Linked DNA regions of Rhinolophus ferrumequinum. The protein of the gene in region 1 purifies or fractionates together with the protein of each later gene. This does not show direct contact. Links are inferred from orthologs where the notes say so. Each region holds a gene or a part of one and is shown in the gene's direction. Other genes may lie near its edges.

Region 1 (7,791 bases):
TATCCTAGCGCAAGACAACATGAGACTCTTGTTTGGAATGCTAACTTAGCCTTTTAACTTCTCTTCCTCTTTCCACTCTCCTTCCTTTACCCTGCCCTCCATGGTCTGTTTTCCACAGAAAAGTCAATTATCTTTTTAAAAAATGTACATTAGTTTACCTTTGCTTCTGGTAATAACAGAGTGGCTTGTATCAGACTAGGACACACATACACGCACGCAAACATACACACCTGATTTAAGGCTTCAGAGAGTAGCCAAAGTGGGCAGAACTTGAGTAAACATGATCCTGTATAAGAAAGAAAACACATTGAGGTGAGGGCGGGTCGTCTCCACTGCTTTTTCTTAAGGAAATTCCTTAAGGAATTTGCTGATTTGCTTGGGAGGCATTGAAGCTGAGCAGAAAATGGTGGCCTAAAGTTTTGGTAATAATCACAAGGCTCAAAAATTGGAGTTTAGGATCTGACAAGAAAGGGAGATCTGGTCAATATTCTAGGGTTTCACTTGAGACACCTGAGGGACTATGATTTATGAGTAAGGGTAATCCAGAAATAGACCAGCCCACACAAAGCCTGGGACATCTCACTTCCTGACCGGATCCAATTATTTGACCCTACTCTAACTGCCTGAGGAAAAAAATCCCAAAAACAAAAGCCCCAGAAATTTACACCTCTCCTGGAGAAATAACGTTATCTAGAGCCTCTACAACTTTTTAATTTACCCAGCATCCAGCAATTAACAAAAATTAACAGATATATTAGGAGACACATCCAAATAAGCAAAAACCAAGAGAGAAAAAAAACAAGACGATAGCATTAAATCCAAAGGAGAAAAAGATATTGATATTATTATACACGGTCTCTAATACATTCAAGAAAGTAGATGGAGAACTAGTAACAATTTTAAAAAGAACCAAATGGAAATCCTAGAATTGAAAAATACAATGACTGAAATAAAAAAACTCTACAGATAGGTTTAACAGCAGGTTAGTATAACAGGAGAGAAGGTTAGTAAACTGTTAGGTCAGTAGAAAATATTCAGTCTGAAGTATGAAGTGAGGGAAAAAATGAAAAATACAGAAAAGAGCATAAGAGAATACAGCACGTGGTGTAAAGATCTAAATTACATTTAATTGGAGTCACTTAAGTAAATAGTAAATGGTTCAGATGCAATAGTTGAAGAGTTATTGATTACAGATTTTATAATATTAATGAAATACGTTAAACCACAGATTTAAGAAACTCTACAAGTCTTAAACCAAATAAATACAAAAAATCCCCACCTAGGCACATTGTAGTAAACCTTCTAAAAATCAAAGACAAAGAGAATTTTTAAAATTTGCCCTAGGGAAAAAACATTACTTTCAGAGGAGTAGTAATACTAACAGCTCATTTTCAAGATAAATGATGGAATCCAGGAGACAGCGGAAGTCAAGGGTACATGTTATAATCTTTAAATGACTGAAAGAATATAGCTGCCAATGCAGAATTTTGTACAGAGAAAAATATTCTTCAAAAATGAAGGTGGAACAAATGAAAACAGAGAGAATTCATTGCCAAGAGAGCTGCACTGAAAGAAATACTAAAGGACTGAAATACTTTCATTACACAGAATGAAAATGATCCCAAAGGAAGCAAAGAAATGCAGGAATAAATAAATGATAAGAGGTAAATGTGCAAGAGGTAAATGTGTGGGGAAAATACATGAATATTGACAGTATAGAACAAAAATAATATCTTAAGAGTTTAAAAATTAAAATATTTAACAATCATAACCAAAAGGCAGAAGAGGGATAAGTGGAGTTGAATTGTAAGATTCTTGCATTATCTGGGAAGTCGTAAATGTGTAAATTGTAGTAGACTAATAATTCAAGGATGTATGCTGTAATTTTTGATAACCATTAAAAGAATAATAAAATAATGTATCATTAAAAAGCCAATGGCAGAAATAGAATAATTTCAAAAATCTAAAAAAAGGTTTGAAATAGGGACATTTCTTAAAAATGTCTTTTACTATTTGCATTTCTTCTGCTATGAACTTATCTGTATCTTTTGCCCAATTTTATATTTAGATTGCTTCCTTTTTTATTGATTTTAGATGGATATTAATATACATACATAGAAATATGTGTATGTGAATGTTGCAAGTACTTTCTTGCAGGGATCAGTTTTAAATCTTTATGCCTTGGTCAGAACCCTAAGGGCCTGGTTTGACCACTTGATTTGACGTTAACGAGAAGAGGTCGGTTGAGTCTTAAGCTTTGCACCTAGTAGGTAGGAGCTCAACAAATGTCTAATGAACTGAATTGAGGAGGTCAAGGGGCTAAGCAAACATGGGGTGCTACATTACGGTCATTTAGGGAGTACGGAGTTATCTAAACCTGTGACAAGAGTAGCAAATGGTGAGTGTTTAAGGCCAACGAGGGAGCAGAAACAAACTGGGCTGGGAAGAATTACAGGATCTCCAGGAGAAGTTTCAGCCAGCCGCACACTCCTGTGCTGCCTGCGGCTCTGAGTGAGGAGGATGCCTGGAACAGAAACGTGTGATGCAAACCTAATCAAGACCAGCAGGTGGCACTCTAATGACCTCCCATTACTCTCAGACTCCCAGGGCAAAGACCGTTTTTGAGTGAGATGAGGTGGAAACTGACCCGGGCATAGGGAGCCTCCAACCCTAAATTTTAGGCTCTGTGCTTCCTCCAGAGGTGAAATCCCAAAGATCAAGAGTCCTGTGGTGTTTTTTTTAAATTTTTCTGTGCTTGCTTTGCCCATGGGTGCCTGTATAGCACCATCTGTTCAATTCAACTTAGACCAATATGGCTCAAACTTTGATGAGCAAACAAATTGCCTGAATCTCTTGAGAAAATGTAAATTATGATTCAGTAGGACTGGGGTGGGGTCTGAGGTTCTGCATTTCTAACAAGCTCCCTGGTGATGACTCACACTTAGTCATTCTAACATTTAGAACATGCTGCCTGTAAGGTCCCCCACCTCTGTGCAACATGGGAGGTGGGAGAGAAGCCAACCAGGACTCTGCCCTCAAATTTATAGCTTCCTAGAGTAAACTCCCACTGTAATGTGTACAATACAAGTTAGAGTGTGTCTACTTACTGTGTGACCTTGGGCAAGTTGCATGACCTCTTTGGGTCTCAGTTTCCTCATCTGTAAAATGGGAATAGTAACAGCCTCTACCTTATTTGAAGGTTAAAGCAGGATATTATATGTAAAGCACTTAGCACAGTACCTGGCACATAGTAAGCCTCAACAAGGCTTGGGGTCCACTAAGAAAGTATGGAGCAAGGCAGGGAGCCCTAGCGGGGTGGTAAACTGGAGGGAACAAGAGGTGAGGGACAATCTTCATGAAGGTGCCATCGTTGGAAAAGAAGGGGGTCAGGGAGGTGAGAACAGAGCCAGGAGGAGGGCGTGTCTCCAGATAAGGTGACAGACCTAAGGGTTGCTTTTGAGGGAGAGTTAATGATGGTGCAGGCTAAGCAGGCTTCCTTCTGGAAACGGATGGGGTGCACAGGAGCAGATTTTCAGGCAGATCAAGCTTCAGCTTTCAGCACACTCCCCCGTTTCACATCTGTAGGTGTTTTAGGGCATTGTGGGAGGAGCTAAGGGGAACCAAGGATCACCCTGGCCCTGCCCTCGTGCAAGGCTTTGCCATAGCCAGCCCAACCTCAGCCTCACTGCTATGGGTTCTCAGCCCTGGTACCTGAGTTTACCTATATGCTTTAAGAAGGGTGGTGTTTCCATAGCATCTTGAAGGTCCACCAACACTTATTGACTAACTTCCAGTGCTCTGCTGAATGCTCCTGGGGATACAGAGACAAATCCACACAGCCCCTACCCTCACTGGGTGACCCTGAGGAGATAAAACATCACCATGGGAAAGGAATCATCAATGATGGGCCTCAGCAGCAGTTCTTACAAATAGTGCTTTTCCTCTATGGTGAGACTAAATGACACATGAGAGCCGTAGCCACTGTGGATGTGACAGGTGTTCAGGGTAACTCTTCAGACCAAGTGGTCTGACCTGATACGGCCTGGAGGAGTGGGTCAGAGTTGGAGAGGCAGAAAGGGGGAGGAACACTGCCAACTGCTAAAGTGACACCTGGACTGTGTGAAGCCAATTACCCGTCATCTCGTTTAAGCCTAAACAATACTATGAGGTCAGTACTGGTTTTACCTCCATTTCATACACGGGGAAAATGAGACTCGGAGACGCAAAGCAGCTCGTTCAAGGTTTCACAGCTGGAAGTGGTAGGTGGAGGCTATCTGACTTGGTTTACTCTCTTAAGTACCCCGTATGTGCTGTGCATCTCCTCCCCTTAATAAGTGACAGCTTTCCCCCTTGCCTTTCCCCTCCAAATACAGGGACAGTCATACACGCCTGCAGTGGAAATGGGGACTTTTGAAGGCCTGGCTAAAGAGTTAGGACTTGAATTTCTTTTTTCACTTCCCCAGCACTGAAGTCTTGCTCAACTCCAGCTAAGCAATGAGGCTGGCAGGGTTGCCTCACTTCTAGAAGGCAGGCCCAAGCCTTCCTGGCCCAAACCCACTTCCTGTCCTTGTGCCTCGTTTGTCAGAAGATGATTCTCACGCTTCCTGTTGACTTCTACTTTGTTTCAGCTGGTTCAGTGACGTCCCCCCAAGGGCTGCTGTTGATCTGATCAGTGAAGCCTGGGACACAGGACCAGGTACATTGGGACAGTGGGGTTCTGCTCAGAGAGGGTCTGGGGAGGGCCGCCCTGAGACACACCAGAATGGGGGACTCCTGGTGGTCTGAGGACCCTCTCAGACCCCCATGTGACGAGGGACTGTCAAAGACTAAGGTCAATTTGTGAGGTTGGCTATGCTCCTGTGGGGGTGACACCAGGGGTTTGCTTTGGTGGCTTCCTAAATCACATTATCTGCCCATATCCCTCTGAGAATTCATCACCTTGATGTGGTTTTCTATTTCCTGGGCTGCCCAGGTAGCATTGTTCTGGGTTGTAGCAAGTGCTTCTTGGGTTCAGACAGGTTTATCTGGGACTGACTGAGACATAGTTGGTGTGAAGCTTGAAATTGTGCTGAGCTGACCAAGTTAGGGGCTTGTGGTTAAGTCCTAACTCCTTGTTTTTCTTGTGGGCAAGTCACTTCCCTTCCCTCTGAACCTGTTTCCTCGTCCACAGGAATGTCAAAATAGCTCTATGTTGTGGGATTTTTGTGATGCTTCAACAGGACAATGATTGTGAAAGTGTTTTGTAAACTGAAAGATGGTATTCTTCCAGGTTTTATTTCATTTTCTAAATGGAACTCGACTTTTTAAAAATGATAACATCATAGTTGAAAAAAATCCAAACCAGGCAGTGAAAGTTTTAACATAATTCCATCCCTGAAGATTACTAGTATTGACACTTTGGTGTATAGACTTCTAGAATAAAACAATTAAAAACAGTTTTTATTGTGGTAAAATACACATAACAAAAAATTTACCATTGTTAAATGTATACTTCATCACTGCCATCCATCTCCAGGACTATTTCATCTTCCCAAAGAGAAATTGTACCTATTGAACAATAACTTCCCATTCCGCTGTCCCCCTGGAACCTGGCAACCACCATTGTACTTTCTGTCTCTATGAATTTGACTACTCTAGGTACCGCATATGTAAGTGGAATCATATAGTACTTGTCTTTTTGTGACTGCCTTTTTCACTTAGCATGATGTCGTCAAGGTTGATCTATGGTATAGCATGTGTCAGAATTTCCTTTCTTTTGAAGGCTGAATAACATTTCATTGGAGTAGAGACCACGTTTTGTTTATCCATTCTTCTGTTGATGGACATTTGGGTTGTTTCTACCTTTTGGCTATTGTGAATAATGCGGCTATGAACATGGGTGTACAAACATCTGTTTGAGTCCTTCGAATTCTTTTGGGTATATACTCACAAATGGATTTGCTGCATCATATAGTAATTCTATTTTTAATTTTTTGAGGAGCCTTCATACTGTTTTCCACAGTGGCTGCACCATTTTATATTCTTACTAGCAGTGCACGAATGTTCCAATTTCTCCACATTCTCACCAACACTTGTTATTTTCTCTTCTTTTTTGATAGTAGCCATCCTTTGGGTATGCAGTGGTATCTCATTGTAGTTTTGATTTGCATTTTTCTAATGATTAGTGATGTGGAGCATCTTTTCATGTACTTGTTAGCCATTTGTATATCTTCATTGGCAAAATGGTCTATTTAAGTCCTTTGCCCATTTTTTAATTCACATTGTTTGGGTTTTTCTTGTTGAGTTATAGGAGTTCTTTATATATTCTGGAAATTAACTAGACTTTTAAATATTTTTATGTCAAACTCTACTTGCTATCCTGTAACCTTTTTCACTTAATATCTCTTGAGTATCATCTCATGTTAATTTATAAATATCTACCTTGTCTTTCTTAACAGCTGTGTAGTATTCCAGTACATGGGTGTACTATGATTTATTAAACCAGTCTCCTACCGATGGGTGTTTATATTGTTGCCAATTTATTGGTATAATTATAAACAATGCTGCAATAACATCACTGAACATACATTTTTGCATACAATCATTATTTCCTTAGGATAAATCCTTACAAGTTGATTTCTGGGTTAAAAATTATACATATATTTACAGTTTTAATTCCTTTTTCCAGATTCCTCTAATAAATGTCATACCACTTTATTATTTTCAATTTTATATCCACTTTAAAACAACACAAAGCTAACAATAAAAATAGCGATTCCCTGGCCCACTTTCCACTTCCTAGTTCTCTCTATCAGAGACAAACATTTTCAATTATCTTAGTTGTTTCTATTTCCAAATAAAGTAACTAATGTGAGTATTTTTTTCTATTTTAGTCATTATCTATTGACTTCTTATTATGAAAAGTAAGATATAGCGCTCTTATATCATTCTATCAACATTATTGCTCCCCGTCTTCTTCATATGGTTATATCACAAATTTTGGTTAAATCAATATTCATGTTTATGTTATGTAAGTACGTGATGCTATGACTATGTAAGCATTGTTCTCTGAGCTACGTAATATATTATTATTATTACTATTATTATTGCCTTTCTTTTGCCTATTTTCCCCTCTTTGAGTTGAAAGTTGCCTCGGTTTTTCATTTCCTTGATTTTTATATACATATCACTGATTCCTTTCCAACAGAGATATTAAAGTTCTCTCAATATGAACAGATACATCAGATAATTTCTCAGTTTCCATCTTCTTTTCTTTCGTTTATTCCTCAGACACATCTCCCTGCAGCCTTATCCTAATGCTCCAGTCTGGGCTGGTTGCTCTCTTTTCCTACTGCTCAGTGTTGTCCTGGCATACCCCTACCGTCATCTTAGGAATTCCCTTTTCACTCTCTTACGTAGGCCCTTTCTCTTTTTGATGCTACTTCTTTGTTTGTTTGTTTATACATTTTTAAAAATTGTGGTAAAATATATCTAACAAAGTTTATCATTTTAATCCTTTTTTTAAAGTGCTCAGCTCATTGGCATTAAGTACATTCATATTGCTGTGCAACCATCACCGCCATCCATCACTAGAACTTCTTTATCTTCCCAAGTGGACCTGTGGACCCATTAAACACTAACTCTGCAGCCCCGGACTGGCAACACCATTCTATTTTCTGTCTTTATGATTTTGAAGAGAATCATATAGTAGCTATCCTTTTGTGTCGATTCCCACATTTTCTTCTTCATTTATTTTCTTATTTTGGTGGCATACATTTTCTAATACGTAGGAAGTAAGTTTTTTGAGTTTTT
Region 2 (8,252 bases), on another chromosome or scaffold:
CTAATCACCCCAAAAATCTAAGCCGCCTTTAATATTTTTGTGTAACCTTCAGCCTTTTTTCTATGCACATCCACATAATAATAATGCCTATCATTCATTTAGTGTTTACTTGGTGCCAATCACTACACTCAAGTGCTTTATAAACATTATATCATTTAATCCTATTACAATCTTAATACCATTATGCCCATTTTACAGACGAAGACATTGAGGCTTACAGGGTTTAATCAATATGCAGAGAATTACACAGCTAGTGAATCATAGGAAGTTTTAACCTAAGTATGCCTGACTCCAGAGCCTGTGTTCTTGACCTCAATGTAATATTACTGATTTATATGTGCATTCCTTTAATACTATAAAATTGTGTTGTTTTATACAAACTGTTTTATAATTATTCTTAAGGTATGACTCTATAATGAAGTAAAGATAAGAAGAAAGAAAAGTGAGAAACATGTAAAATATAAAATTTATATTCTAAAATACATAAAATATTTAGATTTCATGTCTCAAATAATCAAATGATATTAAGACTTAGCACATGAGAAATAACAGATAATAAAGCACCATAAAGAAAAATGCTCAAGTTTGCTGGTTAAAGGCACATGCACATTACCAGTGTATATACATTTAATTACTTCTAAACAAATATAGATGATTTTGTAAAGTCTTGGGAGAGCTATGGCAGATAGAGCTATTAGGATCAATCCTTCCAAGGACCAGTTACAAGAACTATGAAATATGTTTCTAGGAAATATCTGCTGAAGTAGTGAATGAAGAAATGATTCATTTCCTCTGGTAGGGTAGGTTTATTTGATTCCTAGAAATATAAATTTGAAATAACAAGTAACAAGGCAGAACACAAACAAGGATATAGATGCTGATTTCACAGTTGGGAAAAATAATGATTTATATTTAAACACTGATGGAAAGTGAATTGAAAACAACATAAATAATTTATGTTTTGTAATCATTGGTTTCTTTCCCCCATCAATGTTAGTGCTTAAAACAATTTTTTTAAGATTAAAAAGTTTTTTGTTTTGTTGTATAGATGTTTTCATTGTTGCATCTTATTATTGATTGTTAAAAACACGTACATTTTGGCTTACCATTATCCTGGAAAGAAAAGCTGATGGAAGGAAATGTAAGAAGGTGTGGGAGGAGCAAAGACACATGGAGACAAAAGTGAAAGTAGTGGAAATATGGCTGATAATAATACAATTATATTACACATTTAGGTAATTACTGTATAATTGAAGTTGCATTTGGAAGTTATCCAAAAAAGCATTTAGAAAAATCTAAAACTATACAGCAGATATCTCTGAATTCATTCTTTCAAAATTGAAAAAATGTGTCTATTTATTTATTTATTTATTGCAGATTCTTTACACCTACTATATGAAACCATAGTTAACGTCCATTCACGAAAAGCATCCAAAAGACAAATAGCAGGAGTTGCTTTAGATGATGGAATCATTGATTTCCCCATAAATCACTCTTTGATTTCTAATAAATCTTCAAACATTAGTAATGCAATGGCTTCTGGACATCTGTTATTGTTTGGATTTGGTGCAAACAAACCAACTTCAGTCTTATAATAGAAAAATATGTAAAACATATCCCTCTGATATATACCCCACACAAAATGGTATATGACCTTGGGCGGTGGTTTTATTAGCTTCCTGACAGGGTTTTATTCTGAGCATGATGTAGAGGCGTATCTTAACTAGAGAATATTTCCAAGCATTTTTTTCCTTCTTCAGCACCTTATATTTTTTATAGCTGATTCAGATGTCTCATGTTTCTTTTCCGTAATTTTCAGGCCTTCGGATCACTGAGGTAATTTTCAGTTTTATTTCTCGTGACCAAGATATAATGAACTGAGGAATAACTTCCAGGAAAGATTCTTGGGCAGATATCCAGGGGTCTGGTATATAAGGGTATCGTGGTAACCTGTGTGAAGGGGGGCTCTAGGAAAGTAAGGCAGACAAGGGAACCATCTGTGGGGACATGTTTGTATCCAGCACTGATGAACGATAGGTGCACAGAGACAGAGAAATCTGTCTTGAAGGATAGTAGTGACCCCAAGGTCTGAGTGGTCTCTAAAGTCTGGTAATGTCACAGATTAGACACTGAATTTAGAGGGTACAAATTTCCACTTTTTGAACTTTTCATGCCGACTCGATTACTAAGAGCAAACTATGGCCAACATTTATTGAATGTTTGTAATTATATGCTAGGGGCTGTTCCAAATGCTTTACAAGAATTAACTCAGTGAAATATCACAGGAGATGAGTATCTTTATTACCCCCTTTTGACTTCTAGGAGACCTGAGTCTCAGAGGAGTCTAGCAACATGCGCAAATACACAAAACCAGTAAGTGGTGGATAGAGAGTCTGATTCCAGAGTAGGGGCATTTAGCCATACCATTGTCTCTCTGACGGATTCTAAAGCAACCTTTTAGTGGCTAGCAAGTCAGGAATTTATCCAGCATGTTTTGTGGTAGCTGCTTAATCCCTTCTTAGAGACTTTCTTTCAAAATTTGGAGCAATAACTAGATGAAGAGATGAAGCAGGTATATTTGCAATGAGCAGTTATAATTCTTAGGGGGGTATATGGGAACTCTATGCTTTCTGTACAAGTGTGCTTTTTTTTTTTTTGTAAGCCTAGAATGCTCTAAAAACAAATCTATCAATAAAAAATAAGGTCTATGCCTCTGTTTCTGCCTGCTCTTTAACTCCGTTCTCAAACACACATGACCATCTGTCAAAATTTGTATCTGACTATAGACATATACCCAGAACCTCTCCCACGAGGCCTTCCAGATCGTAAAGATTCCCAACCGGAATGGATTTTCCTCTTCTCCTTCTCTCATGGCAAATGTCTTCAATTGTTATCCTTTTCCTAGTCTGCTTGGTGTTAAAGCCAGTTGTGTCTTTTCATTAGATTTTGAGTCTCTAAAATGTAGAGATCATTATTTTCTTATTCACTTCCAGTCCCACACCCAATATCTGTACTATGCCTGGGTACATGATCGTGGAAAAATTTTTAACTCAGTTTTCCTGGATCTCTCCAATGTATATGGGAGGTATACATGTTATTAAACTTCCTTTTCTCCTGTTAATCTGTCTTTTATTGTAGGATGTGTCAGTCAAGAACACAGAGGGGTAAGGAAAAAATTATTTTTCCTCCCCTGCAGAGCAATAGACTATACTATATAGCCTAGGTGTGTAGTTGGCTATACCAAATAGGTTTGTGTAAATACTGTTAAAAAGAAAACCACAGGCCAAAAAAAAAAAAAAAAAAAAGGCATCACTTGTGCTAACATAAAGCCCCTGAATGCCAAACCTAGATTTAATACTTGACCTAATTGCTATTTGAACCTTTCCCAGAAACATAATAAACCAGTCTTGAATTTTCTGGTCAACACCAATGAAGAAATCTGTCACTGAGGCCCTCTCCACAATCCACTCCCACATCCCCATAGAAAGAAGAGGCAATCGGCATGATAAAAATCCTTGCTATTCCCTTCCTCCTAAGAGAAGCTGTCCTGGTCTAAAATTAATCCTTTGTTTTCTTTTGTTGATAGCTCCCTTGCCCCATCCTTCTTCTTATAAAAACCTTCCATTTTGTTCAACTCCTCTGAGTACTGGGAACTTAGTTGCTAAATGGGATGCTGCTTGATTCATAAATCACTTAAGAAAGCCAATCAGATTTTCAAATTTACTTGGTTAACTTTTGTTTTTTAACAGTACACTCTATGATGTTTGCACAACCAGGAAATCACTTCACGGTGAATTTTTTATAACATATCCCTGTTGTTAAGCAGTACATGATTGTAGTAAGTATCCAATACATGGCAGAGGCAAGTATTTGTTTCATAGAGTTTTTCTTCTGGACTATCTTGAATTCTTTCTATTTAAAGATATTTCACCTGTCTCTTTTTTAACCATATTTATGGTCACAATAATTTGCCAGGTAGGCAAAAATTGGAACAGGGATGGCCATTTTATAGATAAGTATGGTATTGTATTTACAACCAGATCTAGATTTATTTTGAAATTACTGTAGTACTTGCTGACTGAAAAAATTCATACACATTTACGCAACAATTATGCATCAAACACTGTTGTAGGTATTGGGGATGCAGCAGTGAATAAGATACAGTCCTTGCCCTCTATTAACTTTCATTCTAATGTGTACAATGACCAAACATGTCAACTGAAAAATAATTATCAACTACATGTTTCGTCACCAAAAAGAATTTATTCCAGGAAGAAGAAAGTGTTGCAATCCACTGCATGCAGACACGGCAAGCCACGTGCACACTCTGGCTTAAGTGCCATTTATACAAGGGAGGGTATTTATATAAGGGAAAATGGAAGTTAAGTCTGAGGGAAGTTAGAACCACAGAGTATTATTATCAACAGAGTTTTTCCTATAGGGTTCTCACCATTTCTCGAGTGTGAGAATTTCCATAAGCCCTAGCTCCTCTCACAGATCCTTCCAACTGATTATGTTCCCTTAAAGTTCCAGTTAGGATTATTACACATAGATACTCAAGAAACATGATGAAAAGCTTACCTATATAGTGATGCCAAACCTGAGTTGATTAAAATCCCAAAATCCATTCCTGGGCCTTAAAATGTAGCAGTTATGGCAAGGTTTGGGGGCAGTCCAAGAATGGATAACCAGGATTTTAAAAGCTAGGACTCTAAGAAACAATGTTGTGGAGGCAAGCTATAGATATTTTTTTCTTCTGGGAAAAAATAGGGATAAATCAGACATATAAGTCTGTGTGTAGCGGATGGATGGGATCTGAGCTTCCTATTTCTGTTTAAATAACCTTAAAGTAATTGTCTGGGAGTGCAAGTTGGTTAATGTTGGCATGTCAGCAGGAGCTCCCAAAACACTGAAACTCTTCTGTTTGCAGCAACTTAGGTGTGAGTCCTGCCGATTGCATAGGGATAGACCAATTGACCTCCGCGGGTTGCCTGCTCGCTTCCACCTCTGGACCAGCGCCACTCCCTCCTCCAGAGACCGGGTGAGGGAGAGGGAGAGCGGAGGCGCTCCCGCGGGAGGGGCGCGGGGCGTGGAGGGCGTGGGCCGGGGGCGGGGCGAGCCCCGCAGACTGGGTGCTCCCGGGAGCTGTCAGTGTCAGGCTCGGGGAGAGAGAGGAAGTGCTGGCTCCCGGAGGAGCGTGAGCCGAGCGGCCGGCGCAGCGTGAGACAGCACATCCTGCGCGCGCCGCGCCCGCCGCCCTCCGGAGTCGCCCGGGGGCCGCCGCCGCGCTCGGGGGATCCAGAGCAGCCGCCGCCGAGCGCGTCCAGGTACAGAGAAGGGGGGGTGTCGCGCTCTCCCGCCGTCGCGTCGGCGCCCCTGCGCAACAGTAGTGCGGCCCCGGCAGCCGCAGCCGGACCCTCGCTCGGCCCCGCGCAGCATCCTGCGTGCTCCGCTGCGCCCTAAGGTGGCCAGAGCCCTCCAGCGGCGGCCCCTTCCTGCAGCTCTCCCAGCAGAGCCGAGAGGTGAGTGCAGAGGAGGAGGGGTCGTGGTGTCTTCACCTTGTCGCCCACCTTGTGGGCGGGGAGGGGCGTCCCAGGGAGCCCCGCCTCGGTCTTCTCTTGGGGAGCAGAAGGCCAGCGGCAGTGAAATCCGCACCCCTCTGGGCCACCAGCAGACGGCCCTGGAAGGAGGAGGGAGCTGCAGAGGAAGGGAAAGAAGGATGCTGTTTGATTACATTCTCAGCTGTCTGCAAGGGTCTTAGATGCTGTTGCTACCCGCCAAGTTGGAGGGAGCGAATGTACTTCCAGCAGGACATTAATTAACACGCACGCAGGAAGATGCCAGTTTCTCTCAAGGCTGCAAAAAAGTGCGGGTGGGGGATGTGTTTTCGTAAACACCTTACCGGCTGCGTGGTTCTCCTTCCCCCACTCCCACTCCCGAAAATCACTCTGGCCTTATACATCTGTGCGTCGTCATCATAAGGGCTGTGATCCTGGCAGCACCGATGGGAACTGAGTGTGCCAGAGTCTCATGACTTGTACCTCCGCTAATAAGGTTAAGCAGAAACCCAGGATCAGGACAGGAAATTACTTAGGAAATCAGAGACTCAACAAAAATGCCCGAAGATGGAATACAATCATTATCCTGGCTTCTGCTACATCTATCTAGGTGAGGGGGCAGGAAAAAGTAGCCAGCCATTTTCTTGCCTGGAATACATTTCAAGTGGGCACGCTAGACTTCTTGTAGTTCAAGGTTATGAAAAATTGCTTCCAAGTATTTCAGATTAGCAGGAATCTCAGCTAACAGTAAAGCATCTGTAACTGCAGAAGACATCATAGGGCTACTATTTAGCACACATATGAGTGACTGTCTATATACATATTTTCATTGTAGAAATTATAGAGAAAGATGGTGATCAGTGTTAGTAAATTTGAAATGGAGCTTTCAGTGCAAGCTGCATCCTAAGAGTCCTAGTGGGAATGGGATGAATACTTTCTCCGATTATTTAAAATGCCAAATTTTCTCTGAAAGTTTTGGTGTGGGGGGAAAAAGAGCCCAAACTCTGCTTCTGACCATATTTCTCAATAAAATAAAACCAGACACTCCTACCACTAAGTTGTCCAATGTTCTCTTCATAGACACCAACGCTTCCAAATTTCTTAAGGTGTGAGGACCCAGTGCTCAAAGAGCCATTTCTCTTAAAAGTCTTCTAGCACCATCGTGGGGATGTTTGGGCCCAGTGCAGGCTTTTCCCAGCCTGTCCAGCTCTGGGCCCAGTTTGGGGACCAGAACATCTCTTTTTCTTCCTCGTCTCTAGCCACAGGCACAGATTCACCTACTTCCTCTCCATTTGGACCTCGGCTACTGCAGCCTCTGCTGCCCAGTGCTCTAGAGGAGAGGGATGGCTCAGCTCCTCCTCCTACTGAGCCTGTCCTCTCCTATTGAAAACATGTCCTGAACTCTTTTTGTGTTAAAGATCTACATCGTTAGGTATAATCGCCATTTGGGGTATGGGCAGAGGAAAGAAACTCAACCCACAGGACAATGGGGCAGATTCTTACAGTGGTGGTTCCTGGTCTCTAGTTTCTAACTCCTAAGATAGTAAGAGGAAGTCACCCAGCATTTCTGTCAGCCTGTTTTATGTCTAAGAAGGGGCTCTTTAGCTTTCTTCCACACCCCTTTTACTTCCCCACTCTTTTCCAAGTCTACATTTGCTAAATAAGCCTTTCTCTTAACTCCAGTGCAGACCCAAGAAATTCTTGGGGATCCATCTAGGGTGCTGCACTGTCCATACTCAGAACAGCCCCGAGGTCCAGTCCTCTAAAACACACGCCAGGTCTTTAAATCCAGCTGTGTCTCTTAGCACAGACTGTGTGCATAGGCTACATCCACAGTTAGATGCCTAAATGGGCCATTCATTCTCCCTTGTCACCCTGTTTCTGTCTGTCACTAATCTAGCATCAAATGAAAAGGACATACACATCTGTTGCAAACATAAGTATATTCCCTCACCATTTTGTTCTCCTTACACTTTGTTCCACCAAATAAAACAAAGGTTGATAATATATTGAGCAATTTAGCATTGCTCAGGACATTTAGTAAATGAATTATACTACATTTACTAAAATGTATTGAGCACTTGAACAGGCATTACATTTTAAACTACTTTTCCATGTATTAACTTACGTAATCCTTACCAAAATCTTATGAGGTATTATATTATTTGTAATCCTATTTGACAGATGAGGAAACTAAGACGCAAAGATGTCAAGTAACTTTCTGAAAATTGCTCAGCTGATAAGTTGTAGAGACAGGATTTGAACCTGGCAGTCTGACTCTACTCTTCTGTAGAGTCAACAATTCTATTGGTTAATTTTCATCTATGGAATACCAGCCTCTTTTCTTATGTTATCTCATTTTGTTCCTTATATTAATCCTGTGAAGTAGATAATTACCCATATTTTGCAGATGATGAAACTCAGTTACGTGACATAGTCAAGGTTATAGTTAATAAATAGCAGAGGTAGGATTCAAGTCAGATCTGTCCAACTCTAAGACCAAAACTCATCCATTTTCGCTAGTGTCCTCTGTGAAACAAAAAGCCGAGCTTGTCTGGTTCTTTTGGGTTTGCTGTTCAGTTTCCCTGTGAGCCATTGTTATTTCCTTTACGCCTCAAGTATAGCCATACTTTTTTTGCTGTGGATGATGTGGCAGACCCAAAGTAGGACTATTGCTCTTTTGAAATTAAATGT

What was found. Proteins that work in one complex are often made in the same cells at the same time.
Region 2: the proteins of NDEL1 (region 1) and DYNC1I1 purify together in Homo sapiens (affinity purification with western blotting; 3 studies listed by BioGRID and IntAct, with this or other methods). This does not show direct contact. The link is inferred for Rhinolophus ferrumequinum from reciprocal best matches to the Homo sapiens genes NDEL1 and DYNC1I1.

Annotation. Positions count from the first base shown.
Region 1 is NC_046304.1:10,629,056-10,636,846, reverse strand, and holds the start of NDEL1 (nuclear distribution protein nudE-like 1), read left to right. Parts: upstream 1-4,564; 5' UTR 4,565-4,696; intron 4,697-7,791. UniProt on the Homo sapiens protein: Required for organization of the cellular microtubule array and microtubule anchoring at the centrosome. May regulate microtubule organization at least in part by targeting the microtubule severing protein KATNA1 to the centrosome.
Region 2 is NC_046303.1:31,145,552-31,153,803, reverse strand, and holds the start of DYNC1I1 (cytoplasmic dynein 1 intermediate chain 1), read left to right. Parts: upstream 1-5,081; 5' UTR 5,082-5,327; exon of another isoform or gene 5,328-5,522; intron 5,523-8,252. UniProt on the Homo sapiens protein: Acts as one of several non-catalytic accessory components of the cytoplasmic dynein 1 complex that are thought to be involved in linking dynein to cargos and to adapter proteins that regulate dynein function.